Macaca mulatta: one gene and its partners. The protein of the gene in region 1 interacts with the protein of each later gene in a pairwise test. Links are inferred from orthologs where the notes say so. Each region holds a gene or a part of one and is shown in the gene's direction. Other genes may lie near its edges. The genes, in order: SMARCE1, CCDC136, CEP70, TFIP11, TRIM54, RALBP1 and CDR2.

The links.
Region 2: the proteins of SMARCE1 (region 1) and CCDC136 interact in binary tests that used the Homo sapiens proteins (3 or more experiments, as listed by UniProt). The two-hybrid records come from large-scale screens. The link is inferred for Macaca mulatta from reciprocal best matches to the Homo sapiens genes SMARCE1 and CCDC136.
Region 3: the proteins of SMARCE1 (region 1) and CEP70 interact in binary tests that used the Homo sapiens proteins (3 or more experiments, as listed by UniProt). The two-hybrid records come from large-scale screens. The link is inferred for Macaca mulatta from reciprocal best matches to the Homo sapiens genes SMARCE1 and CEP70.
Region 4: the proteins of SMARCE1 (region 1) and TFIP11 interact in binary tests that used the Homo sapiens proteins (3 or more experiments, as listed by UniProt). The two-hybrid records come from large-scale screens. The link is inferred for Macaca mulatta from reciprocal best matches to the Homo sapiens genes SMARCE1 and TFIP11.
Region 5: the proteins of SMARCE1 (region 1) and TRIM54 interact in binary tests that used the Homo sapiens proteins (3 or more experiments, as listed by UniProt). The two-hybrid records come from large-scale screens. The link is inferred for Macaca mulatta from reciprocal best matches to the Homo sapiens genes SMARCE1 and TRIM54.
Region 6: the proteins of SMARCE1 (region 1) and RALBP1 interact in binary tests that used the Homo sapiens proteins (3 or more experiments, as listed by UniProt). The two-hybrid records come from large-scale screens. The link is inferred for Macaca mulatta from reciprocal best matches to the Homo sapiens genes SMARCE1 and RALBP1.
Region 7: the proteins of SMARCE1 (region 1) and CDR2 interact in binary tests that used the Homo sapiens proteins (3 or more experiments, as listed by UniProt). The two-hybrid records come from large-scale screens. The link is inferred for Macaca mulatta from reciprocal best matches to the Homo sapiens genes SMARCE1 and CDR2.

Annotation. Positions count from the first base shown.
Region 1 is NC_133421.1:65,012,063-65,015,562, reverse strand, and holds part of SMARCE1 (SWI/SNF-related matrix-associated actin-dependent regulator of chromatin subfamily E member 1), read left to right. Parts: intron 1-2,626; coding exon 2,627-2,799; intron 2,800-3,295; coding exon 3,296-3,397; intron 3,398-3,500. UniProt on the Homo sapiens protein: Involved in transcriptional activation and repression of select genes by chromatin remodeling (alteration of DNA-nucleosome topology).
Region 2 is NC_133408.1:168,424,956-168,429,034, forward strand, and holds the start of CCDC136 (coiled-coil domain-containing protein 136), read left to right. Parts: upstream 1-1,279; 5' UTR 1,280-1,310; coding exon 1,311-1,368; intron 1,369-1,779; exon of another isoform or gene 1,780-1,973; coding exon of another isoform or gene 1,974-2,016; intron 2,017-2,147; coding exon 2,148-2,255; intron 2,256-4,079. UniProt on the Homo sapiens protein: May play a role in acrosome formation in spermatogenesis and in fertilization.
Region 3 is NC_133407.1:41,523,804-41,527,303, reverse strand, and holds part of CEP70 (centrosomal protein of 70 kDa), read left to right. Parts: intron 1-2,062; coding exon 2,063-2,150; intron 2,151-2,237; coding exon 2,238-2,326; intron 2,327-3,500.
Region 4 is NC_133415.1:25,052,231-25,055,730, forward strand, and holds part of TFIP11 (tuftelin-interacting protein 11), read left to right. Parts: coding exon 1-5; intron 6-2,295; coding exon 2,296-2,423; intron 2,424-3,284; exon of another isoform or gene 3,285-3,500. UniProt on the Homo sapiens protein: Involved in pre-mRNA splicing, specifically in spliceosome disassembly during late-stage splicing events. Intron turnover seems to proceed through reactions in two lariat-intron associated complexes termed Intron Large (IL) and Intron Small (IS).
Region 5 is NC_133418.1:97,700,357-97,704,404, reverse strand, and holds the start of TRIM54 (tripartite motif-containing protein 54), read left to right. Parts: upstream 1-1,248; 5' UTR 1,249-1,527; coding exon 1,528-1,695; intron 1,696-4,048. UniProt on the Homo sapiens protein: May bind and stabilize microtubules during myotubes formation.
Region 6 is NC_133423.1:80,490,931-80,494,430, forward strand, and holds part of RALBP1 (ralA-binding protein 1), read left to right. Parts: intron 1-1,258; coding exon 1,259-1,420; intron 1,421-2,342; coding exon 2,343-2,474; intron 2,475-3,500. UniProt on the Homo sapiens protein: Multifunctional protein that functions as a downstream effector of RALA and RALB. As a GTPase-activating protein/GAP can inactivate CDC42 and RAC1 by stimulating their GTPase activity.
Region 7 is NC_133425.1:21,841,763-21,845,865, reverse strand, and holds the start of CDR2 (cerebellar degeneration-related protein 2), read left to right. Parts: upstream 1-1,303; 5' UTR 1,304-1,378; coding exon 1,379-1,457; intron 1,458-4,103.

The DNA of each region.
Region 1 (3,500 bases):
AAAGCAGGAGGATTGCTTGTGGCCAAGAGTTTGAGACCAGCCTGGGCAACACAGCAAGACTCTGTCTCTACAGAATACTTAAAAATTAGCTGGGCATGGTGGCTTGTGCCTGTAGTCCCAGCTGCTCCAACTGAGGCTGAGGTGGGAGGATCAATTGAGCCCAGGAGTTCGAGACTGCAGTGAGCTATGATCATGCCACTGCCCTCCATCCTGGATGACAGAGCAATACCCAGTCTCAAAAAAAAAAAAAAAAGAGGGCATGTGCAATTATCTACACAAGACAATGAAGGCTTTTGTTCAATGAGAGCCTCTTCATGGGATAAATAGCTGTTCAATTAGATCATAATTAGAAAAGCCATTCCCCGAAAAAAGGAAGCAGATGACTTACATGCAAGGAAGAACAAGCCCAAATTCTTAGACCTTATTACCCCATCTGTGGTCAACACTGGGGCCATATAAATGAAAGAAGAAAATAAAAAATAACAAAAACAGATAACTTAGACAGACGTAGCACAGATATACCACATATAACCCTAAAGGTGAAAAACTCTTAAAAAGTAGAAAGATTACAGAGTTTTTAAAAAAACTGTATCTTACCTAATAGTTTTAATTTCAGAAGTTTATTTCCTAAAGGAATTACTCAAAAGGAAAGAAAAGTAATTTTTTTAACTTTTTACAAAAACAACAGTTTTTAGCTATAGTATTTATGATAATGAGAATTTTAGGAACTGCTTAAGTGCAAGACAATAAGAGAGGTGCTAAACTGACATAGGAGCACCACAAAGGCCTCTAACAGGGTTCCCTCTAACAGGCTTTCCTCTGTAACAGGCTTCCCTCTGTAACGGGGTTTCCTCTGTAACAGGGTTCCCTCTGTAACGGGGTTTCCTCTGTAACAGGGTGTCCTCTGTAACAGGCTTCCCTCTGTAACGGGCTTCCCTCTGTAACGGGCTTCCCTCTGTGACGGGCTTCCCTCTGTGACGGGCTTCCCTCTGTGACAGGCTTCCCTCTGTAACAGGCTTCCCTCTGTGACAGGGTGTCCTCTGTAACAGGCTTCCCTCTGTGACAGGGTGTCCTCTGTAACAGGGTGTCCTCTGTAACAGGCTTCCTTCTGTAACGGGCTTCCCTCTGTAACGGGGTTTCCTCTGTGACGGGCTTCCCTCTGTGACGGGCTTCCCTCTGTGACAGGCTTCCCTCTGTAACAGGGTGTCCTCTGTAACAGGCTTCCCTCTGTAACAGGCTTCCCTCTGTAATGGGGTTTCCTCTGTGACAGGCTTTCCTCTGTGACAGGGTTCCCTCTGTGACAGGCTTCCCTCTGTGACAGGGTTCCCTCTGTGACAGGGTTCCCTCTGTGACAGGCTTTCCTCTGTGACAGGGTTCCCTCTGTGACAGGGTTCCCTCTGTAACGGGCTTTCTCCTCTGTAACGGGCTTTCTCCTCTGTAACGGGGTTTCCTCTGTAATGGGGTTTCCTCTGTAACAGGGTTTCCTCTGTAATAAGGTTTGCTCAAGTATGGTTCCTCCCTGTCTGGTGGGACACTGAGGTGATTAAGTGGGTCAAAAAGGAGCATTTGTTTTGTATGTATTGCTACAGAGAAAGCTTTTTTTTTTTTAAATGAGTTAGTTTAAAGAAAAATATTAAGTAAACAATAGTACAGGCTGTTAGTAGATATATGAAAAACTATGAAGGCGATAGAGCAAAGACTGAGATTAAGGAAACACTAGATACCTATTAAAAATAAGCATATAGGGTGTGCGCAGTGGCTCACACCTGTAATCCCAGCACTTTGGGAGGCCAGGATGGGCGTATCATGTGAGGTCAGGAGTTCAAGACCGCCGTGGCCAACATGGTGAAATCCTATCTCTACTAAAAATACAGAAATTGGCTGGGCATGGTGTCATGTGCCTGTAATTCCAGCCACTTGGGAGGCTGAGGCACAAGAATCGGTTGAACCCGGGAGGTGGAGGTTGCAGTGAGCCGAGATTGGGCCACTGCACTCCAGCCTGGGTAACGGAGTGAGATTCTGTCTCAAAACAAAACAAAACAGAAGCATATAAACCAGACCCGTACAGCTGGCTAAGTGTAAACTGACAAAAATTAAATTTGGAATCAAAACATTTATTTTTCTTCTATAAAATTCCTTGAGGGCCTGGGAAACTGAATATTGTTAGAGATGATGTTTCCTCTGCTGTGATAATTTTACAAACTGGCATTTTCATAAAGTCACTGCCCAGTTCATATGTTGTTCGTTAGTTGTTAAATGCCTTAAGTCACTACCAAGAAAGTGAAACATTGGGCAGAATTTCAATTACTGCCATCACATGCAGCTTTCACATTGATTCCAAAGCCAGAAGAGACATGTTGTATCTCATTTATGTTTTAGCCAAAGCCTTCTCAGACACACATCATCACTTAAAGACTGTGAGATAAATTACTACCTTGGCCAGTGAACACATTACGTCCTCTGTATGGTTTTTATCAAGTAACTGCCCAGTGCTCCCATGACGCTGGTCAGGTCCCCTTGTTAGGCCAGCAAGGGCCATGGTTCCTTGATAATTAAGTGTTAACATGTTACACTCCTTTTTATGGTTACTGGTGACCTACTTTGCAGAACAATTTGTTCATTGCAGATTATGATGATGGCTTTTCAATGAAGCATACAGCCACCGCCCGTTTCCAGAGAAACCACCGCCTCATCAGTGAAATTCTTAGTGAGAGTGTGGTGCCAGACGTTCGGTCAGTTGTCACAACAGCTAGAATGCAGGTCCTCAAACGGCAGGTCCAGTCCTTAATGGTTCATCAGGTAAAGTCATAAAACTTTCAATAAAATGGACCTATACCACAAATCCCAGCTGACGTGATTCCTACACCATGCCTAAATGTACCTGTTAAATATGTCAGTCTAAACTGTTCCTGATTTGGAGAAGAGGTTTAAGGAAGTGGACCTTTCCCAAATGTTTAATAAGTTTGTCATTAAAAACTATAATATAGAACCTTGTAATGGAAGGTATATTTGTTAAGAAGTACATGTGAACTTAAGAATTTTGAGGCGTCCTATCAGTCTTTACTGCTCTACTAAATACTTTTTCCAAAGGAATTGCTCAGGCCTGAAACAGTATTCTTTAACATTTACCTATTGATCATAATCATTTCTTTGTGCTGCATTTTGTATTTTTTAAATCTTAGCTAGACTCATGTAATAAATGATCTAAAGTTCAAAACATTATTTGGTACACTGTTTGAAAGTATGAACCATTAAAACAGGAGATATGATTGTAAAGCCTGATCCTGTCTTGCAGCGAAAACTAGAAGCTGAACTTCTTCAAATAGAGGAACGACACCAGGAGAAGAAGAGGAAATTCCTGGAAAGCACAGATTCATTTAACAATGAACTTAAAAGGGTATCTGTTTAATATGTTAACTATACTTTTATCACCGTACCTGTTACTTTACTTTTCCTCATTCTTTTTTCCAAAATAATATTTTTATTGAATGTTGTTCACT
Region 2 (4,079 bases), on another chromosome or scaffold:
CCACCCCTTGTTTAGCATATCATCAAGAAATAACCATAAAAATGGGCAAACAGCCGCCCTTGGGGCTGCTCTGTCTATGGAGTAGCCATTCTTTATTCCTTTGCTTTCCTAATAAACTTGCTTTTACCTTATTCTACGGACTTGCCCTGAATTCTTTCTTGCGTGAGATTCAAGAACCCTCTCCTGAGGTCTGGATCCGGACCCCTTTCCTGCAGCGGGGGGAACGCAGACAATGTGAGTGAATGTGCTAGAGAAGGGATCTGCGTGTGTCCCTGGCTTAGGAATCTCCCAGCCATTTCCTGGATGTGCTGGGGAGCCCCTGTTGCGAACTGTACCCACTTCTATCCTTGCTGAGACCTGCCGAGATGTGAGAACTGCCTCTTCAAAAGCCGGCACCCAGTGGACATAGCTTGAATAAAAGAATGGTGGAAGACGTGAAATAAGCCCCCTGGGCTTCCAAATCTCCCTTCCACGAGAGTGAACATCAGTCGTGCCCACTCTCGCGGGCTACAGTGGGGGCGTGGCTCACAGCCCACCTGGTGTGGGACCGGAAGGGAAGGCAGGGCGGAGGAGAGGGGGTCTTCGGGCCCTGAGGCTTGGTGGGGCCACCGGAGGGCCCCCCTAAGAGGGTCCCTGGCCCTGGTTCGGTAGGGGGTCGCAGAAAGCGGAAAGGTCAGGGCCCTGCCGTTCGCCCATCAGGGCCTCGACTTCCCTCCTCCGGCCCCCAGGCTGCCGAGGGGCCACCGGGCAGGGCTGAGCAGGGCCTGAGGCCGGAGTCCGCGCCGACTGCTTGGTGGGGGCGCCGGCCGGGCGGGGGAGGGAAGGAGGGAGGGGCGCGCGTGTCTGTGCGCTTGGAGGAAACAGTCCCACCTCGTCCTTTGCTGTCCCCATTGCTGAGCATGACTGGGCCCTGACACCTGGTGCAGAAGGGTCCCTGCGCACAGCAGATCCCGGGGGGATCTGCTGCCAGAACCAGGGGATCTCGCTCCTCCCTCTTGGGACAGCCTTAAGCCTAGGAGCTCCTGACACTGTCCGGGCCCCGCAGCTCCCCACGCTCCCTCGGGGAGAGACTTGGGGCGTATCTGGGGTCGCGCTCACCCTCCCAAGCCGCCCCCTGCACCGGCTCGGAGCTCCCGAGTGCTGGGAGGGCTTCCGGGCGGCGGCGAGCGGCGGGGGGCGGTGTCAGGAGGCCCGGCCAGGCCCCGCCCCCTCTCCCGCCCCCCCCCCCTTCCTGCGCACCCGGCTCGGGTCCCCGGGCTCGCGGCTGCGGCTTCTGCTCGGGGAGGCGTAAGGCGGCGGCGGGAGCGGTCATGGAGGCGGGCGCCGGAGCCGGCGCGGGAGCCGCGGGCTGGAGCTGCCCGGGACCAGGTCAGAGCCGCCCCTCCCTCACCTCTCCACCGCCCCTCCTTTCTCTCCTCCATCCCTCCTCCCTCCAGACCCCCAGGTGCTCCTGGCCTCCGCGGCTCCCCCTTCTCCGCCCAGAGTCTTCCTCCCTCCATCCTGGCCTCCACCGGGGCCCGGTCTCCATCTTTCCGGCCTGGGGCTGGGGCTTCAGCGCACCGGCCGCATCCTGTCTGGTGGTCCCTCCCCAGCGCGTCTCTCCACTCCAGTCCAACGGTGCTTCCAGCCTTCGGGGCTCCAGACCCCGCACCTCCTGCAGCCCCGGAGATTCCTGAGCGCGGGGCGAGGGTGGGGTGGGCAAGGTCCAGCGAGAGAATGAGAGGGGAGGGGAGGGGAGCGGTCGCTGCCCTACCCCTTCCCACACGCCCCCCACTCCTCCCTCCCTCCGTAGGCCACCTCACCCTTTCAGCCTCTTCTTCACTGGCTCCCGCCCTCTTTCTGTCTTGCCCCTCTCCTCCCTGTCTCCCTGGACTAAATACGCACACCCCCTCTTTCTGTGCAAGCAAGAGGGGCCTGGAACAGGGGGTTCTGAGGAGGCTGGGCGTCAGGACTGGGGTCTCCGCAGGCAGAGCATGAGAGGTGGTGGAGAGAGAGAGGAGTCGCAGAGACGGGAGAGTGAGTCAGGCACCTCCACTGGGATTACAGATCCCAGAGCCCCGAGGAGCTGGAAGGCATGTCCCCTTCTTTGCACCCCAGCCCGCAGCCAGTCCCCCATCCCCCAGCCCTTCCTTTCTCCGTGCTCTCAGGACCCACAGTGACCACTCTAGGCTCCTATGAGGCCTCTGAGGGCTGTGAGAGGAAGAAGGGCCAACGCTGGGGCTCCCTGGAACGACGAGGGATGCAAGCTATGGAGGGTGAGTTTTCCCAAAAGGCTTCTTTCTTTCCCTTCCCCTCCTCCCTTAATTCCCTTTCTTCCTCCCTTTGACCCCCAGGCCTCTAAGCCGGGACACAGCCCTTCCCTCAGTTCATCTTAGCCCCTCTTCCTGCAGCTCAGAGCGCCAGCCCTTCCCAGGGCTCAGGCTTTGACGGAAGTTTAGGGTGCATCCCTTCGGGACCCCAGTCAACCCCCAGCTAACCAGGTTGTGTGTCCCTAGGGAGCTGCCAGACAGAGAAAGAGGCCTGGTTGGACAGAGCTTTGAAGCAGCCTTTCAGCAGGGGGTTTGTCCTCACTGCCTGCCGACCCAGATCCCAAGCTGTCTCTTATTATAAAAAGCCAGGAACTGGGCATGTGAATTGTCTTTCTGGGGCCACCACCATTAACTTCGAATGGAAGCCTGTGGCTTTGGTTCTCTAGGATACCTTACTGCCTGAAAGAGATTGCCTAGGAGGGGGCGTGTGAGGCCATCCTCCCAACACACGTGTATCCCCACCACACCCATGTGACTTGGCAGTTGCTGCCAACACCAGGCCCCTGGAAGGACGCTGGTCCATTTTCCAGGACTTTCTGTGAAGTATTGCACGTTGCACATTCAGTATGGGCAAACCTGCTCCCCCTAAGAGGGACAGATGGCACAAGGGGTCCCAGACGAACCTAGGGCTGCTGATGTTAGATAAAGTAAGACCAGAGATTCAGAATTTTAAAACAAAGCAAACAATCATCATCCAGACAACATTTTGCTATTTATAGGGACTGCATTGCAGTAAAGGAGCGGGTGCTCACAACCAGAGGCTGGGGGCCAGCACCAAACCCCAGTTTTTTTAATGCATTAAAATAGCAGGCTTTCTTTTACACACAAGTACAGCCTAAAACTTCCCCTGAAAGCTGCTTTGTGGTCAGCAGAGTAGGAGGGGCTTCATATGGCTCAGCTAGGGGAGAGGAGACTTTGTGACATGCAGCAGGGAAAAACAAGGTGGACCTTGTAGAAAATTTCAAACAGGTATTTAATAATATACATTTGAAAGGGCACCAGCGTTTATCCAATGAAACCTCTACAATCAGATATTTTCTTTCTCTACCTGCTGACAGGCAATGCTTTCTTATTACGGAAAGGCTGATTTTTCACAAGCCACCTGGATAGTGTTTTGTTTGGTTGTTTTTGTTTGTTTGTTTGTTTGAGATGGAGTCTCACTTTGTCGCCCAGGCTGGAGTGCAGTGGCTCGAACTCGCCTCCCTGCAACCTCCACTTCCCATTTTCAAATGATTCTCCTGCCTCAGCCTCCCAAGTAGCTGGGATTATAGGCATGTACTACCACGCCCAGGTAATTTTTTTGTATTTTTAGTAGAGATGGGGTTTCACCATGTTGACCAGGCTGGTTTGGAAGTCCTGGCCTCAAGTGATCCACCCACCTCAGCCTCCCAAAGTGCTAGGATTACAGGCATGAGCCAGCATTCCCGGCCAGTTTTGTTTTGTTTTGTTTTGTTTTTGTTTTTAACTTTTGAGAAATCTCCAAACTGTAACTGTTACCCCATTTGACCGAAAGATCCACTCACTGTCTCCTTTCTTGACTACTTGTCCTGCTACTCAGAGGCCAGCCTAGAAGAAGCAGGTAATCCTGTGCAAGTGTCTCATGCTGAGCGGGCACCAGCCTGCCCACAGGCAATGGTGGGAGGCTACCATGTGCAACATTGGTCCAGGAAGGGCCTGGGAGGTGGAGGGGCTGCCTCTCAACTTGACCCTCACACCTGAGGATTCATCTTGAGTATAGGTCTTGCCCAGAGGCACCTTGGGGGATACCAG
Region 3 (3,500 bases), on another chromosome or scaffold:
TACTCAACTAGGCTGTTGGAGCACAAAATCAGACACAGATAATATGTAAATGAATTGGCACAGGTGTGTTACAATAAAAATAGTTACAAAACCAACAGCCTGCTGAATATAGCCTGCAGACAGCAGTTTGCTGACCCCTGATCTAGATGATGAAGAGAGGGGATTTGGGGTTTTTGGTAAGAGTAGAATAGATTTAACATAACATAGCCATCAGGAAATTTTTCATGTAGAATATGATGTGAGAGGTACTTGTAGAGTTCTGCAAACGGGGTTCTCTGACTAAAGGTGACAAAAGGATTGAGGCCATTGGAGTGGTGGTGTTGAATTTAGTTGTCATGAGTTTGTAATGAAAATCTGGGGTTGAGGAACAAGCGACTTGGAGAAGAATCACTTTTTAGCTTAAAAAGCTTTTCATTAGTTGTCTAGCTGAAGTAAAGTATTTTGGCCTATGCAGATTATCCTTGGGTCAGATATTTGGATTGAATGTCTTATTGAGGGAAGTGGAGGATAGGAAGAAAATATGAGATACATTAATAAATAATATTCTACAAATGAGAAAATTTGCAGCAATAAAAAGAGTCTCCTAAGGAGGGGGTTTTTCAGGATTCATTGACTGAAAGGAGTTTATATTATAAACTCAGTCTCCTTTTTAAGAGTGAGTACTAACTTGAAAGTGAGATTCTGGCAATTTCAGGATAGATTTTGAGATCTACCAATAGGATATAAGTATCATCTAAAGAAGTAGGAGTACTGTAAAAAGAGGATGTAACAATTCATTGACAAGTATTACATTAGTAAAGAAGATGAAAGAGGAGAGAGGGGAAGACAGGCTAAGATTTGGAGGCCTAAGTAGGATAAACAGGAAGCACAAGAGAAGAGCTATAAACCTGTAGAACTGAAGCAGCAAGACCAAAGGAAGAAGACAGGCGGGACATGGGCCTCTTGCAGTGGCAAAAGCTTCTCTGCTTATCCATTTTTTTAAGGCCAGTGTTGTCCAAAGTTTTTTGTTGTTGTTGTTGTTTTTATCATCAGACTATATGCACATGCATAAAATAAACACATTGGGAATAAATAAATCATTTGAACTGAATCAATCCATTGATAACTTACTAGACTGGTGATATGTTTATGTGTAATACTAGAAATCATGCATGTACCCAGTGCACACTAGGCTACAATAGTAATACTTTATGCAACAGTTAAAGCAAAATGTAGTCCTTAAACAATAAAGTTGTACTTAACAGAAAAGTATTTTATACTGCTTCAATTTTTAAATTTAAGATTTAATGAAATTCAAAGTTTATTTCTTTGGTGGCATTACCCATATTTCAAGTGTTAAGCGGTAACCACTAGCTCATGTAGCTGTTGGTTACCATATAGGACATCACAGTGATAGTTAATCAAGATTGCTAAAAATAATCATATGTATTTGCTAGCACTTTGCATTTCACAGAGTCCTTCAGTATCTTTCGTTTGCTTTTTACATCAGTCCTGTAAAGTAGATGTGACAGATACTGTTTTACAGATGAGAAAATAAATTCTGAGAGATTGATTTATTCAAATAATACAACTAGTTAGTGGTGTTATCAAGGCTTGAACCAAGACTATTAAATCTGTTGCTTTTTCCACTTATGATCTGCATTTTTTCATATAGGTTTTTTGGTTACCTAAAAGTACTAGAAGGAAAAAATAGTATGTGAATGCATTTTTTGAAAGAACCTGGATGTTCCACCCATGTTTCGTTTTGTTTATTCGGCAGTGCTTTTTCACCTCTTATAGTCCATAGTTTTTCTAGGCAGTGAGATACAGTGGTGAATAAGACAAAAGTTCTGGTCCTCATGGATCATATATTCTAAATAAAAAGAGAGTAAATGGATATTGTATGTCCTATAATAATAGATAGTAGTAGTGTTCTAATACCATTCTCTATGAGAACAAGTAGGAAATTTGAATTAATTTTAATTCATGTTTAGATGATTAAACCCTCATTATGTTGGTTTAATTAGATTTTTTTCTTTGAAGATAGATTTTTCATAAGTATACTGCATGCATATTTTCATAGGCAATATAAAGAAGATGAAAGTCAGTCAGAAGAAGAAAATGACTACAGAAGTCTGGATGCCTCACCAACTTATAAAGGCCTTTTAATGGTATGGGGACTGCATAACCAATAAATACTTTTTAATAAAGTAAGTAATCTAAGAAAGTTAATTATTTTTCTATGAAATGTGTTGCAGTCATTACAGAATCAACTCAAGGAGTCAAACTCTCAGATTGATGCACTTTTAAGTGAAAAGCTGAACCTCCAAAAAGATTTGGAAACCAGGTGAGAGAAACTTAAGTTTTTTTTGTTTTGTTTTTTTTCTGAGACAGGGTTTCACTCTGTCACCCAGGCCAAGTGCAGTGGTGTGATCATGTCTCACTGCAGCCTTGACCTCTAGTGCTCAAGACTAATCAAGTCCCTTAGCTGGGACTATAGGTGCGAGCCACCACACCCAGCTAATTTTTAAAATTATTTATTTTTAATTGAGACAGAGTCTCACTCTGTCCCCCAAGCTGGAGTGCAGTGGCGCGATCTCGACTCACTGCAACATCTGCCTCCCAGGTTCAAGTGACTCTCCTGCCTCAGCCTCCCGAGTAGCTGGGATTACAGGTGCGCGCCACGACGGCTGGCTATTTTTTGTATTTTTAGTAGAGATGAGGTTTCGCCATGTTGGTCAGGCTGGTCTTGAACTTCTGACCTCAAGTGATCCTTTCTCCTTGGCCTCCCAAAGTGCTGGGATTACAGGCATGAGCCACCACGCTCGGCCTCTAATTTTTTAATTTTTTGTTTGGTAGAGATGGGGTCTCCCTGTGTTGCCTAGGCTGATCTTGAACTCCTAGGCTCAGTGCCGGAATTCCCAAAGTACTGGAATTACAGGCATGAGCCACTGCATCCCGGTCAATTTTTCTTCATCCTTTGAAAAGTAAACATATACTGGAATTTGGAATATTAAATGCACCATTCTATCTCCTTTGCTCTAAAGCTAATCATGAGTACATAATATTCTTATTCTCACTTTAGTCAGTTCTCTCCCACGATAACTTATGAAAGGAACAAGAACACACGGGTAGGCAAGGGAAATGAGAAAATAGGAGTCCACATGGAAGAAGTTAAAACTAGCTAAGAACTTCAAATAAGCTGGGCACAGTGGCTTTCGCCTGTAATCTCAGCACTTTGGGAGGCAGAGGCAGGCGGATTGCTTGAGGCAGGAATTCGAGACCAGAGTGGGCAACATGGCAAAACCCCTTCTCTACAAAAAATATAAAAATTAGCCGGGTGTGGTGGTCTCTGACTGTAGTCCCAGCTACTCAGGAGACTGAGGTGGAAGGATCACTTGACCCCAGGAAGGCTGCAGTGAGCCATGATCATGTCACTGTACTCCAGCCTGGGTGACAGAGCGAGACCCTGTTTAAAAAAAAAAAAAAAAAACTTAAAATAGATTCAGTCTTTTTTTTTT
Region 4 (3,500 bases), on another chromosome or scaffold:
ACAAGGTATTGCACTTTGGTCGTCTTGTGTGATGGAGGGCAGGCAGAGGAAAGGAGAGGGGCATTGGGAGAGGAGGTTTGCTTTTCCCTTTTAAAAGCACTTTCACTCTCTCTAGCCTGGTTTGCCAGCACAAGACATTTGCACTCCTAAGCTACCTTGCTTTATCAAAGCTCAAGTTAAATAAGTAATTGTTTCAACAAGAAGAAAAGGGTTAGGGTGTAAAATAGGCTGCAAACAGGTTGGAGACAGGCTTTTTTTCTGGTCCTGACCAGCTACTCAGGAGGCTGAGGCAGGGGAATCGCTTGAACCCAGGAGGTGGGGGTTGCGGTGAGCCGAGATCACACCACTGCACTCCAGCCTGGGCAATAGAGTGAGACTCAGTCTCTAAATAAATAAATAAATAAATAGAATAAATAAAGACAAAAATGAATTAGTTGCTAATATTTAAAAAACAGACAATTTCACCTAAAATTCTAGATTTTGCCTGGCAGTAGTTAGTTGAGGCAAGTGAGAGCTGCTCCTGGGACAATGGACATGGTCTTCTCTTGGAGGCAGTCTCCACGGCCCCCTGTTGTCTTCCACCCCAACCCACAGGAACTTTTCTTGGTCCCGAAGTCATTTGAGTTTGCCATCCCTACTCACAAGGGTTTTAGTTTTGCAGAAACGGTTATTTGTCCTTCAGGAATATCAGTAAAACATTGTGTTTAGCTTTTTTAATAATTAGAGCCATATGGCTGTAAAATTGGCTGAGCAAATCCTTCATTGGTTACTTCCATCTTCGTCTAGTAGCCCAGTCTCCTCCTGTCTTCTCATGGCCAGCCTCACTGAGACACAGCCCCTGTCACACTCTTATCTTCTTGAGACCAAAGCCTCTCAAACCAAACACTTGGATTCTTCCTACAAGAACATTTCCCCTTCTTCTTGAGCTATATCCTATGCATGATTGCCAAGTAGATATAATCAAATGTGTCCTCCATATTCAAATTTGAGTCTCTAAATAATAATATTACTTTTTGAGACACAGTTTCACTCTTGTCGCTCAGACTGGAGTTCTATGGCACGATCTTGACTCACCTGCAACCGCCGCCTCCTGGTTCAAGCGATTTTCCTGCCTCAGCCTCCCGAGTAGCAGGGATTACAGGCAGCTGCCACCACACCCAGCTAATTTTTGTATTTTTGGTAGAGACGGGGTTTTACCATGTTGGCCAGGCTGGTCTCGAACTCCTGACCTCAAGTGATCCACCCTCCTTGGCCTCCCAAAGTGCTGGGATTATAGGTGTGAGCCACTGCGCCCGGCCTCTAAATAATTATTAAAGTGAAATCCAGGTTATGTGTTGAAAACATTAGGTACATGAAAAATACATGAACTTAAGCAAGGATACGCTGAATGAGAATGAGGGGACAGCTTTTTTCCTTTTTTTGATACAAGGTCTCACTCTGTTACCTAGGGTGGAGTGCAGTGGCATGGCATGATCATAGCCTACTGCCGTCTCAACCTCCTGGGCTCAAGCCTGCCGAGTAGCTGGGACGACAGGCACACTCTGCTATGCCTGGCTAATTTTTTCTTTTTTTGTAGATGGGGTCTTACTATGTTGCCCAGGCTGGTTCAAGACCTTGGCCTCCCAAAGTGCTAGGATTACAAGCATGAGCCACCATGCCTGGCCCAGGGATAGCTCTTATTTGAGACTTCAGCTGTACTAAATGGAAGGGAGGCAGGGATGGAAAATTTGGAGGGGGGGCAACATCTTCATTGAAATGTTGTGGTCCTATTCGTAAACTCTTTTATGAGAAAAGCAACATTTATTTCTAGGGCTTAAACTTGTTATAAAAAAGTTAAACATAGGAGATAGGAACTCCTAAGTAAAATACATGAGTCTTATATTAAATTACAGCTTCACTTCAGTCAGAGTCAATATAGTATCTGAATTATTGCATTTTCCCTAATAGAGGCTTCCAAAGAAGTGAAGTGTAGAATTTAGTATGCTGGAGTTCTCGGTTATAAATGTAGTGTTCTGTTTTCTTGTCCACTGAAACAATCCAAGTAGAAATGGAAATCTATTTGGGATATAAATAAACCAGTCAGCAGACTGTTCTGTGGTAGCATAAATGCTCATAAGTTTCAAATCACAAGGGACAAGAGTAGTGTTCTGAGGGCAGAGAATAGCTCTCCTTGAGTAGCGTGTTATTTTGTGGAAGGAGCAAGAAACTGTCATTTCACTGAGTGGCTGATTCACATACATGAATTGCTGTGATCATAAGACTGTCTTTTTTTTATCTTTTGCTGAAATTCCTCAGGTATCATTAACCCAATCGAAGCCAAGCAGAGAAAGGGAAAAGGTGCTGTGGGGGCTTATGGATCCGAGCGCACCACGCAGTCAATGCAAGACTTCCCTGTGGTTGACTCAGAGGAAGAAGCTGAAGAGGTAACTGGAAGTCAGGAGACATGGGTGGGTGGTGTCCTGTCCATTTCTAATGGCTGTTCATTTATCCCTTCATTCTGTTAGTCCTCAGATGTTTATTGTACACGTACCATATGCCAGGTGCTGGGCTGAAGGCTAGGTGCACCATGATGAGAGGGCGCACGGTGGACAGAGAGTAAACAAGCAGCTATGGTGTGGAAGTGGCAGTTGAAATGGCAGAAGGTGCTAGGACCTGCCTAGACAGAAAATAAGGTTGGGGGTTGGGAGGTGGTGTTGACCTACTTTTATAAATAGGCTGGTCAGGGAAACCTTTGAGGAAAGGAAACATTTCAGTTGAGACTTGGCAGAAGGGTGAGCTGAGAAGCCTGAGGACACTGAGAGGCTCTGAGCTTGCCGGTTAAGAAACCATAAAGGAAGCCGTTGTGGTGGGAGGGTGGTACACAAAGCAGAGGGGAAGGAAGTGCATTCAGAGGGGTGGGCGGGCCACAAGATGGGCCTTGACAGCCATTTTTAGGTGCTTGGGTTTCATCCCAAGTGCAGCAGGGAGCCATCTGCTGGCAGCTGTGTGTCCCTTTTCCCCAGTGATAGAAGGGGCCAGCTTTGTTGATTGAAGTATTACTCTTTTCCCATTTGAATTTATGGGGGAAAGCAGGATGCTGCAAAGAAACACGTTACTCTTCTTGTCACTGACCTTTTGATGACACAGTCATTTGATAATGTGGGATTGACCACTCTGAGTCAGGGGTTCTCAGACTTAGAAGCCTACAGGTGCCAGGCACACCACAGAAGCAAGTAAGATGAGCCAGATGCTAGACAATAAAGAGTGGTGGGGACTGTGGCACAGAGGTGAGGCCTTAGCCTGTCTAGAAGGTAAATCTTTATTCAGCTCTAGGTGATTGTTGCTTATGAGGATGTGGGCTTAGTATTGCCTGATCCTCTGATTTTCCCAAAGTAGCCAGATGTGTAGATACTTTTAGAGAAAAAAATGACAAGTCTTAACCAGTATGAGAAAAACATAATGACAACTCCAAAACCAACTTCTGTGGGCTGGATTCTACTACCATCACGCTAAGAAAGTTT
Region 5 (4,048 bases), on another chromosome or scaffold:
CAAAAATAGGGGCATGAAATATGTGATCCGGAGAAGATTGCACTTTCTGGACTCTTTTCCCACTCTTGCCTCTTTGTGCTGCTGTTTCGTATCCTCCTCACACCGTGTATTTCCTACCCACTCAGGGTCACTACCTACTAACTCCTCAGACTTCTCTTCCTGGACTGGGAGAAGGGCTAAAGAATGGCGGTAAATAAAAGAGCTTTTGTCCAATCCCAAGGCATATTTTGGACCCAGAAAAGACAAATTGTGTCTGGGGTGGAGGAAAAAGGCCTAAAGAAATTGCTTCTTGGCTTTTTGGCTAATATCAAGTGGAGAAAAAGACCTGTAGGAGAAAAAGAAGACCAGTGCTCACAACTGGGGCGAGCCTGGCTTGGAGAGGAGGAGTCCTGGACAACTGTGGAGCTGGGGCAGAGGCTTCCTGGAGCCTTATGATTATGACTTTGTCAGTGCTCTAAAATTTCCCTGGAGGTTGATTCCCTGGGTGCCCAAAATAGGTCCCTGGCATTCATGTCCTTTCTGCCCAGCTCACCTTCTCCCAATTTCCTAACAAATTTGAAGTCCTTGGAGTGGCTCCAGGGATGTGTTCACGAACCAGAATCCCACATTTCCTCGGGCGCATGCTCATAGGTAGGTCCAGGCCTTGGCACAATACTCATTTCTAGCCTCTTGAGCTTCATTTCCTAGGGTGATATAAGAAAAGGCAGGCAAGAACAAAAATGAGCCAGAGGTATTGGACAGGAGGCTTGATGGAGTCTCTGGAGCTGCTGTTCTGAATCACACAGTCTTGAGGAGGAGGACCAGGGTCACTGGCTGAGCCTGTGGAGGAGGCAACTGCTACTGACTCTAAGTCTGGCAAGATCTTTCCTCCCACCCTGAGCTATGTATGGGTGCTTCTCACACAGGCAGATTTAGATTCTGTGTCACTGTCCTGGAAGAAGGGCCCAAGCCAGAGCAGGGGTCCTGGGCTCAGAGGAGCCTTCAGAGTGAGAGGGCAGCACCTTTGCTGACCCACCTTTCACCGTAAGCAGTGGTGCTTGCCCCTGCCCTTGCTCAGGGGAGTCACCCATTCCTGAGTGAGTCAGGGTCACTCACTCCGTGACAGCTGTGGCTCGCCTTACATGAGCTAAATTGGGAATTGGAATGTCATGCAGATGCCCCTTGTCTCCCCACCCCCACAGTAAAATTAATCTCCTCTCTGGGGAGTAAGGGACAAACAGTGCTACCCACAGAGTGAACAAGAGAGAGTCATTTGGGAAACAAAAGGAGGACTTTACAGAGAGAGAGGGATAGCTAAAACTACGTGAGCCTGCCGAGGGTGCAGAGCAGAAAGTGGAGACAGAAGTGTCTGAAGACTGCTATCTGGGACGAGACAAGTTGTTAAAGGGACAGGAGAGAGAGCAGAGCTATTTCAAGAGTGAGCCACAGAAGGGAATCCACAGGCCGTCTGAGTGAGGAAGGGTCTACAGACAGTGAGTGAAGGCCAGGAGCAGGACCCAAGCCAGGGTAGGCACAACCACCGAGGGGATGAACTTCACCGTGGGTTTCAAGCCGCTGCTAGGGGATGCACACAGCATGGACAACCTGGAGAAGCAGCTCATCTGCCCCATCTGCCTGGAGATGTTCTCCAAACCAGTGGTGATCCTGCCCTGCCAACACAACCTGTGCCGCAAGTGTGCCAACGACGTCTTCCAGGTGGGCGCCAGGGATGGGGCAGGGCCAGGTAAAGCAATGCAGACCTGTGGGGGACTGATCAGGTCAGAGCTAAGACCCCAGAAAGTGATGGATAGAGTGCTCTCTGAGGTAGGTGGTGGCTGTTGTGGCTGGAGAGCAGAAGGGCTGGGGTCCAAGCAAATCCCAGAGCAAGCATGAGTCAGCAGCTGCCCTGCAGGCTGGCAGGTACAGCCTGTCCATAGACGGCAGCTGGAGTGCTGGGATCTGCTGAGGAAAGGAGACCCTGTGGAAACTGGGAGGGAGGGGATCCTACACCGGTCTTTTAAGAGCCTGTGCCAGACTCTGCATTCCAGTTTGGAGTTTCACACTTTGAGAGCATTGCGGAAAATACGGAGAAAAGATTAATGAGATAATGAAACATTAAAAAACAAACAGAAAAAACCCAACCCTGTGAGAAAGCTCCATAATGGCAGTAAAACGATTCGTGTTTAAGGAAAGTTCAGGGCATCCGTTGTGGGGGACAGAGTTAGACGCAGTGGGCAGGAGACTGGGAACTCTTCCCCAACTTGAGTTCATACCTGTTACCTCCAGATTGTTGAGTAAAGAGGCCTACTGGTTCAAAGCTATTGAGGTCACTTGACAAGCAGAGAGAAGGCAAAGAAATTTACTTTTAGAAGTCTAGCCAGTTTTGGTTTATTTGTGGTCATGGAGCCAAGCATAGCTAATCAAATTCACAGATACCATTTTAGCCACTGGTTTAGAAATAAAAGCTGCATATACCAGAATGGATTATAAGTGGGCTTTTTTTTCTTTTCCTGTGCTACCGGGGAGGTTCTAGTAGGCTATGAAATGGAACAGAGATCAGGGAGAGTGAGGGGCAAAGGCACACACACACACGCGGCCTTGCCGATTAAGCAAAAGCCCTGAATGTGGCCGGGCGTGGTGGCTCACGCCTGTAATCCCAGCACTTTGGGAGGCGAGGCCGGCGGATCACGAGGTCAGGAGTTCGAGACCGGCCTGGCCAATATGGTGAAACCCCATCTCTACCAAAAATACAAAAATTAGCTAGGCGTGGTGGCAGGCGCCTGTAGTCCCAGCTCCTCAGGAGGCTGAGGCAGGAGAATCACTTGAACCCAGGAGGCGGAGGTTGCCATGAGTCGAGATCATGCCATTGTACTCTGACCTGGGTGACAGAGCAAGACTCTGTCTCAAAAACACAAAAACAAACCCTGAATAGACCAGAGCTGGCTTAGTATGTGTGTCAGTGATACGGAACATCCCAAACAAGTATTCTTCAGTGTCAGAAATGATGAGGAAATGTGTTAAACACAAGGGATTTTTAACCTAACCAAGAAAATACTTCCCTCTTAAGTTCCTCGGGGCAGCTTGTTTGGGAAAGGAATGGACTGGCTAGGTCCCGCCATCCCACGATGTACCCTGTGACCCGCCCCTTGTATGTCTGCTGTGTGTCATCTTCACTGAAGACCAGCACTCTGTGGTCTCTCCTGCCATCTTCCCATTGAGGCCCATTCCCTCTCCTATTCTTTTATGTGTCCAAACCTGCCATTATTCAGCTCCAGAGTATCTCAGAGGCAGTAGATTTTCCGTCTCGGGGGACCCAGACCAAATGCTATGCCTCCTCATCCTGTGCATGAAGTCCTGCATGAGAGGCAATGCTTTGCCCACCATCTTGGTGTTTCCTTGGTCTGAGGAATTCCGAACATCCTTCAGGCTGAGATGCCTAGGAGGAAATGGCGGAAAGATTTTGCCATCATTTCTCATGAACTGACAGTGAAACATCCTCTCACTGGAACTTGAAATGCGTGAAAACAAAGAGAAGTTTTGAAAGTTAAGGTGACGTGTCCTATAGAAAAGTGGTCAGAATGTCCAAGAGCATTCCTGGGTGCCTCTGTCGTCTGGCAGAGGGGCCCAGGAGCAGTCCCCATACATGGAGGCTAGAATGTGTTCAAGTGACATGCTTGTTTAAGTCAACCCTTTCTACCCAAGCACACTGTTTCAGTTCCAGAAAGCTCTGGAATACTGATCTGGGCTCAGAGAGACCTTGGAATGGCTTGGGGCAAACCCTGTACAGAATATTTGGAGATAACGTGATACCCAGGGCTTTGGGGTGGCCCTGTGGGTCTGGAGTGATGTGTGTCGTTTGAGGTGCAGAGCAGCCCTGGCCCCTCCAAGGAGGAAGAGTGAAGAGCTCATCCCTTGCTGCTTATTTGGGAGGGCCTGGTGGGAGGCTGACCCAGTTCTTCAGCTGCACTCAAGTCTGTATATCTCAATATATCTCAGTAGATCTCCCTCGGAAAGATGAGCAGATTTAGTTTTTTCACACATTGCCTCCACATTTTGACAACTGTAGGCA
Region 6 (3,500 bases), on another chromosome or scaffold:
CCTACGCAACATAGCAAGACCCCGTCTCTACAAAAAAATAAAAAATTAGCTGGGTGTGGTAGCATGTATGTATAGTCCTAGTTACTTGGCAGACTGAGGTAGGAGGATTGCTTGAGCCCAGCAGTGAGCTATGATCATCCCACTGTACTCCTCTCTGGGTGACAGAGCAAAATTCTGTCTCTAAAAAATACTCTTCTGTTATTCATTGGTTACACTTTGAAAGCAAAATGTTTCTCAGATTTTAGTTTGATCACTCATATTAGGATTTCAGGATCTGGTAAATATTACATTGATACTTAATATTACTATAATATAATAGAGATGGTTGTATCATAGAAGAGTCAAGTGTGTTGTAAGAGTAAGTTTTAGGTAGGAAGTAATTTCTTGTAGTAGCTTTTCAGCCAACCTAATGCCCTGGTCTCCTAGCATGTGAACATCCACACTTAAATGCTGGCTGTGTCCAGGTATTTGTTTCTGGAGTGAGGGCTTTCAACCTCAACCCAGTTTTACTGCTGTGGTGCTCTCACTTCCCTCACGGTCCTCATTCAGCCCATTGTAGCTGTTAAAATATCTCAAAGTAAGTTGAAAATAAAGAACATAAGATGTTTTAGCTGGGCATGGTGGCTCATGCCTGTAATCGCAGCACTTTGGGAAGCTGAGGTGGGTAGATCATTTGAGGTCAGTAGTTCGAGACCAGCCTGGCCAACATGGTGAAACCCCATCTCTACTGAAAATACAAAAAAATCAATCAGGCGTGGTGGCGCACACCTGTAATCCCAGCTTACCAGAGACGCTGAGGCAGGAAAATCGCTTGAACCCGTGAGGTGGAGCTTGCAGTGAGCTGAGATTGTGCCGCAGTACTCTAGCCTGGGCTACAGAGCGAGACTCCATCTCAAAGCAAAAAAACAAAACAATACTCAAAAAAAATAAGGTGTTTTAATCAGTTAATACTGTAGTGATAGAAAGAAAAAAAACAAATGAATGGGCATCAGCTTCTCTATCCTTTTCTTGGTTTTTTTTTTTCCTCTTCAATTCTTTCTGGTGCTTGAATACATGATTTAACTCATATTTTATGAGTTTTCTTCTTAAATTGACCATTTTCTTCTTAAATTGACCATTAACTAGCAAAGACTGTGTTGTCAGTACTGGGTAGAATTTTCTTTATGTGTCCAGGATTAAAGGATATATTATGTTAGACACAAATAACTGAAATAGAATGATAATTTTAATGGTTTTCTTGTAAATCTTTTTTTCTTAGATCAGCAATCGAGTCTTGTATGTGTTTTTCACACATGTGCAAGAACTCTTTGGAAATGTGGTACTAAAGCAAGTGACGAAACCTCTGCGATGGTCTAACATGGCCACGATGCCCACACTGCCGGAGACCCAGGCGGGCATCAAGGAGGAGATCAGGAGACAGGTGTGTGCACCCTGCCTGCCACAGCCTGCGTCTGCATTGGCCATTGTGGAGTCCAGTGGTGATGGGCTCTTGTTTCCTGAGCACTTTCTGTGTGTCTGGAGCTATGTGAGGCACACTGAAGTCAAAAATTCCCATCTGGTACTGTTTCATGCTGAATAAGTCGGAATACCATGGTGGAAAGAGCATAGTTTTTGGAATCAAAAGACCTGGCTTTAAATTCTTGCTCTGCTCTCAGTTATAACTGATTTTAGGCGAATTCTTAACCACCTTAAGCGCTGGTGTTCTTGCTTTAAAATGGGCCCTCTTCAAGGATTGGTGTGAAGATTTTGCCACAAATGAGACAATACATGGAACAGGCCAGGCACGCTGTAAATAGTCTAAAAATGTTTGCTTTTTCTGGACAAGGTTGCTGTCATCAGCCATATTTTATAGATAAGAATATTAAAATTTGGGGAAGTTAAGTAACATGATTATTTATTATAGACCCAAGAGTTGAGCCCAAATCCTGGGCGTTTTTACTATGTTATTTTGATGGAAGTAACCATGCCGTGTTTGTGTGGGTGTGTGTAATCAAGACTAAATAAGAAAGTTAATTACATTTGATTATTTATTTGCATGCACTTTATCAAACCTCTGCTTGCTTTTCCTCCCTTGTGTCTGCCGTGAGCTCCCAGTTCTTACTAGTTAATGATGATGACATTGGAGATGGGGATGTTAAGTATTATTGAACCAATACAAATTAGCGAATAATTCATTGGCAAAACAATAAGAATGATTTTTCAATCATATCAGTGCCATTATTTTACTCTAATGAAATAAAGGATAATTGAAAAATAGTTGATTCTTCATCTTTAGAAATTGCATGTGTTGTTTAAGATAAGAGGATATGGAATGCAACTTAGTGTGTGGCATTGCTTTCTAGGAGTTTCTTTTGAATTGTTTACATCGAGATCTGCAGGGCGGGATAAAGGATTTGTCTAAAGAAGAAAGATTATGGGAAGTACAAAGAATTTTGACAGCCCTCAAAAGAAAACTCAGAGAAGCTAAAAGACAGGTGGGTTACTAGTTTGATACCTAATGTTTATAATAGAACGTGTTGGAGTCTTTTATGTCCTTTATGTGCTCTTTGAAGTATTTTCTTTCTTTCCTTTTTCTTTTGATATTGACCAGGCTGGTCTCAAACTCTTGGCCTCAAGTAATCCTCCCACCTCGGCCTCCCCCAAAGTGCTGGGATTACAGGCATGAGCCACCACGCCCAGCCCAAGTTCTTTCTTTTAAGAATATTATAGATAATGTCACTTGAAGTGAACTTCTCTGGTGGGAAATTTATTCACTAAAATGTTTCTAGTCCTGTATTATTGATATTGCAGCCTGGTGTCAGTCACATGTTTCAATGTAATCTAGAACGTTTTTTTTATTTTTTTTGAGACAGGATCTCGCTCTGTCACCCAGGCTGGAGTGCAATGGCATGATAATGGTTCACTGTAGCCTCGACCTCCTGGACTCAAGGGATCCTCCTACCTCAGCTTTCTGAGTACTGAGTAGGTGGGCCTACAGGTGTGTGCCACCATGCTCAGCTGATTTTTTATTGCTTGTAGAAATGGGGTCTTGTTATGTTGCCCAGGCTGGTCTCAAACTTCTGGGCTCAAGCAGTCCTCCCACCTCCCAAAGTGCTGGGATTATAGGCATAAGCCACCATGCCTGGCCTAGAAAGTTTTGTTTTAATTAAAAATGAATTTACTAAAAAATTTGTCATTTCCTGCTCGGTTATACCTGTAAACAAGGCTTTCTGCAGATGAGAAGCAGGCTGGATGGTGACACACCTTCGGGGACTGCTGGAATTTGAGGCATTTAGTATCAGCTCTTTGGAAATGTAGTGATGAGGGTTGCCTGGAAGGTCCTGAAGATCAGGAGAGATTCTATTTATGTAATAAGAAGAAGAGGGGCATGCAGTACCTGATGAGTTTAGGGTACACCAGTCAGACTTTTGAGTTCCCTCTTGTTTAGTGTGTGTTGCTTGGTTCTGGGACTGTGAGTGGACCAGCCACAGCAACAGTAAAATCCCAGATCTCTGGATCAC
Region 7 (4,103 bases), on another chromosome or scaffold:
ACAGTTTATTACCTTATGTTCTAGAGATAATCTTTCAATTATATACTTAAACCTCGATTTTTTTGTTTCGTTGCTCAAAGTTTGCTAGATATTGGCCCTGCTGTCTTCCATCAGCTGCAATTTTACCTTTACGTCAAGGTTGAGAACATTGACCTTCAGGTCTGTCATCCTGCTTAAGAGTTTCCGTGCTTTGTCTGTAAGATGGTGCTAAAAGCTTTACTCATGAGCAGTATTTGCTGGGTTATGTCGGTGGAGGACAGCGTGCTCTGCCTTGCTGGCTACTAAGTGCTGGGGCTGCAGCCTGACCCCTCCAGGTGCAATGCCACGTCCCCAGATGCTTAACTTGTGGTCTAGAGGTACCTTTTAAAAATCGTTGCAACCCTGCTTACAATTTTCCCCCTCCAAGTGGACAGCTTCGGGCATCCCTCACTGCCCCAGATTCTCAACGGGGTCTGGCGCCCACCGTTTTAGGGAGCGTAATTCCCAGAGCTCAGATGTCAACGAGACAAGAGCTACCGCTCAGTGGGCGTTTTCTCAGCCCTAAACTCCCGATCGACTCCGAGTCTCCTTGCCGGACCCGGAGCAAATCTCAGAGTCAACATGCGAGAAGCGGCAGCCGGGCGGCGGACCTCCGGCTTCCGGCACCCTCGCGCTTCCCGCCGGCACGAAGGACGCCTCTCGACAACCGCCCGCCTCTCAGAGGCCGAAGTCCTAGGCCCTCCGGCCTGCGCTGCCTGTCCACGGACGCGCTGGCCTCGGGACACCCACCAAAGCGGCAGGACTCGCCTCCGCCAGCTCCACAGCCCGGAACCTAGTACGCGCTCCTAGGAGCCGCACAGCGCAGATCAGGGGGCGGGCTTTCGGCCGCACCCCTTCACTGTTTCCCCGCCTTCTTTGTTTATTCGGGGCCCGTCATTGGCTGCTTGGCCTCGAAACCGGGCGAGCCGCGGGTCTTTGGAGAGACGCTATTGGACGAAGTCCCTGTCGCTCGGCCAGCGGCCCGCTCGCGATTGGTTGAGAAGCCGCCGGGGGTTTGAATCGCATCCCCGGCCGGGGAGGGTTCTGCCAAAGTGCCACGTTGGGCCCGGCGGCGGCGTGAAGACCGGCGGCAGCGTGAGAACCTGGCTCCCTACGTTCGCGCCGTAACGCCCGGCCGTTGGGGCCGTTGGGAGGCGCTAGGCGAGTCGAAGCAGCCGGCCGGTCGGCGGCGGTCGCCGGCGGGAACGGGGCTGAGGCGGCGCGGCGGAGCCTGGGCGGCGGCGCGTCCCGCCCGAGGGCGGCTCTGGCTGAGGGCGGAGGGGCCGGGGAAGAGCCCGGGGCAGCGGCTGAGGCGGGACGGCGGCGGCGGGGACCGTTGCCCCTAGAGGACCCAGCCGAGATGCTGGCGGAAAACCTGGTGGAGGAGTTTGAAATGAAGGAGGACGAGCCGTGGTACGACCACCAGGACCTCCAGCAAGGTGAGGGCGGGGGCGCCCCGCGGGCGGGCGGGCGGCGGCGGCGGCGGCCTGGCCCGGGAGGCCCCCGCTGCGAAACTGTTAAAAAGTTGCTTTTTCTGGCGGCTGAGGATGCAGGTGCCGGGAAGGGCTCGGGCTCACCTGGCGGCGGGGCCGGCCGTGCCCGTGGATCCCGCCCGCAGGAAGCCTCGGCGCGGGGCCCACGGCCCTGCTAATGCGCAGTTGAATATCAGACCCGAGGCGCATGGGGGCCAGGGACGCGCCAGGCACCGTTTTAAGCGCTTTCCGTGGATTAGCTAGTTTAATCCTCACTGCATTCCTCCGAGGCAGACCGGGTGAGCCAGTGTGTCCCGTAGTAAGTGGCAGAGCCCGAGAAGCCGCCCCCTCGCAGGCTGTGTAGCCCAGCGCCTTTCTTGGCCAGCACGGAGGGCCGGCTGCTGCAGGTGGTAGTGGTTTTGCGATGTAGCGGGAGCTGTGCGCTCTGCGCCGTAACTCTAGGAGACAGTAACTTTTAAAAAATTGATTAATTTTGAGGGTACATAGTAGGTGTATCTATTTATGGGGTACGTGAGATGTTTGGATACAGGCACGCAGTGTGAAATAAGCACGTGATGGAGAACGGGGCGTCCATCCCTTCCAGCATTTATCCATTGAGGTACAAACAATCCAATTACACTGAGAGTAACTTTTGTTATCCCATTTTCCAGATGAGGAAAGCGGAGGTTGAAACGGTTGAGTGGCTTGCCTAAAGCTAAGTGGGGGAGGGAGTGGTTTTTTGAACCCACACACTCAAAAGGAGGAGTTGTAGTCACTCCTCAAACCCCCATCCCTTCCTTACCATCCTAGTTAACAGTTTTTTTTCAGTTGGGAATTAAGCTGTTACGCATAGTTCACCAGATGCCAGTTGAAATGACAGAAGAGCGCTTCTACCTCTGCCACTTTTCTTCAGTTTGCATGCCAGCTTTCACTTAGAAATAGGCCTGCCGATGGTGTCTCCAGAGAACAATCATAGAGCAGCCAACACTTTGGGGCCAGTGGGGCCCCACTTTTTTTTATACTAATAGCAGGAGCTAGCAATTGGGGAACACTTTTGATGTGCCTAACACTGATAGGCCCATAACAGAGTTGCTCATTTATCTCCCAGTAACACAATAGAGGTGATAATGTTGGGGAGTGCTAGGGTTCCCCTTAAGACTCGAGAGCAAACATTCTTAACCGCTATACTGAACACTGTGAATAATCCTCAGGAATTTTTCCCGGCATCTTTGGTTTCTGCAATTCTATGTAAATGTTTTCAGCTCTAATCTTGCAGTGAAAATTAACATCTCATTTAGTTAAATATTGAATGATGCTGATGCTTGTTCATGCTAACCACTGAACATGGCAGATGCTTGTTCATGCTAACCACTGAACATGGCAGATGCTTGTTCATGCTAACCACTGAACATGGCAGAAGGAAACTGTGTAGACTTGAGTAACTCAGAAAAGGAAAATAAAACGAGCACCTCTTTTGGAGGAAGATAATTTCTTAAATTAACATGCAATCACTTTAACCAAAGTAATTCACCTTTATTACGCTTATAGAGTCCAAGCTGCTTAGTGGTTGCAGTGCAGTGTTTGGTGGCATCATCTTTATGTCCAAAGGACACATTTCTCATACGTTTTAACAAACCTGTTTTCAGATTTCCCCATAGGGATTGATGGCCTAGTTTGATAGTTTCTCCAGGATTTGTGAGGCAACCACTGTGCCATTGCAGTATTTCCCTATAATTTAATTTGTATCATCACAACTAAATATTTTTCTTTCCTGTATTTAAGAAGCATAGGCCGGGTGCGGTGGCTCACGCCTGTAATCCCAACACTTTGGGAGGCCGCGGCGGGTGGATCACAAGATCAGGAGTTTGAGCCCAGCCTGACCAACAAGGTGAAACCCCGTCTCTACTAAAAATACAAAAATTAGCCAGGCGTGCCTATAATTAGCATGTGCCTGTAATCCCAGCTACTCAGGAGACTGAGGCAGGAGAATTGCTTGAATATAGAAGGCCGAGGTTGCAGTGAGCCAAGATGGCGCCGCGGCACTCCAGCCTGGGCGACACGAGACTCTGTCTTAAAAAAAAAAAAAAATTTAAGAAGCATAAATCCTTAAGGGTATAGAGGGGGCAGGTTCTTTTTTCTGGTATTCCCAGCATCTAGCATAATACTTGGCACATACTGGAAGCTCGATTTTAGTATTTGTTGAACTGCACTGAAGCACTATCACAGAAGTGTTTTCATGGCTCTCTTCCATCAGGTGCCTTAGTCCACGCTGCGTTCTCCCACTGTTGGAGGTTGTTTGGAACCACCAGCTGTAACACTTCAGTCTATCAAGCAGCAAGTGCAGCGTGTCAGGGTTACAGGTGGAATTCTCTTTAACCTCTGATCAAAATAAAGTCATCAACTCTTCAAGTTTAACGTTAAAAACACAGGTCTGGCCAGGCGCGGTGGCTCACGCCTGTAATCCCAGCACTTTGAGAGGCCGAGGCAGGTGGATCACGAGGTCAGGAGAACGAGACCATCCTGGCTAACACGGTGAAACCCTGTCTCTACTAAAAATACAAAAAATAAAAAATTAGCCGGGCATGGTGGTGGGCGCCTGTAGTCCCAGCTGCT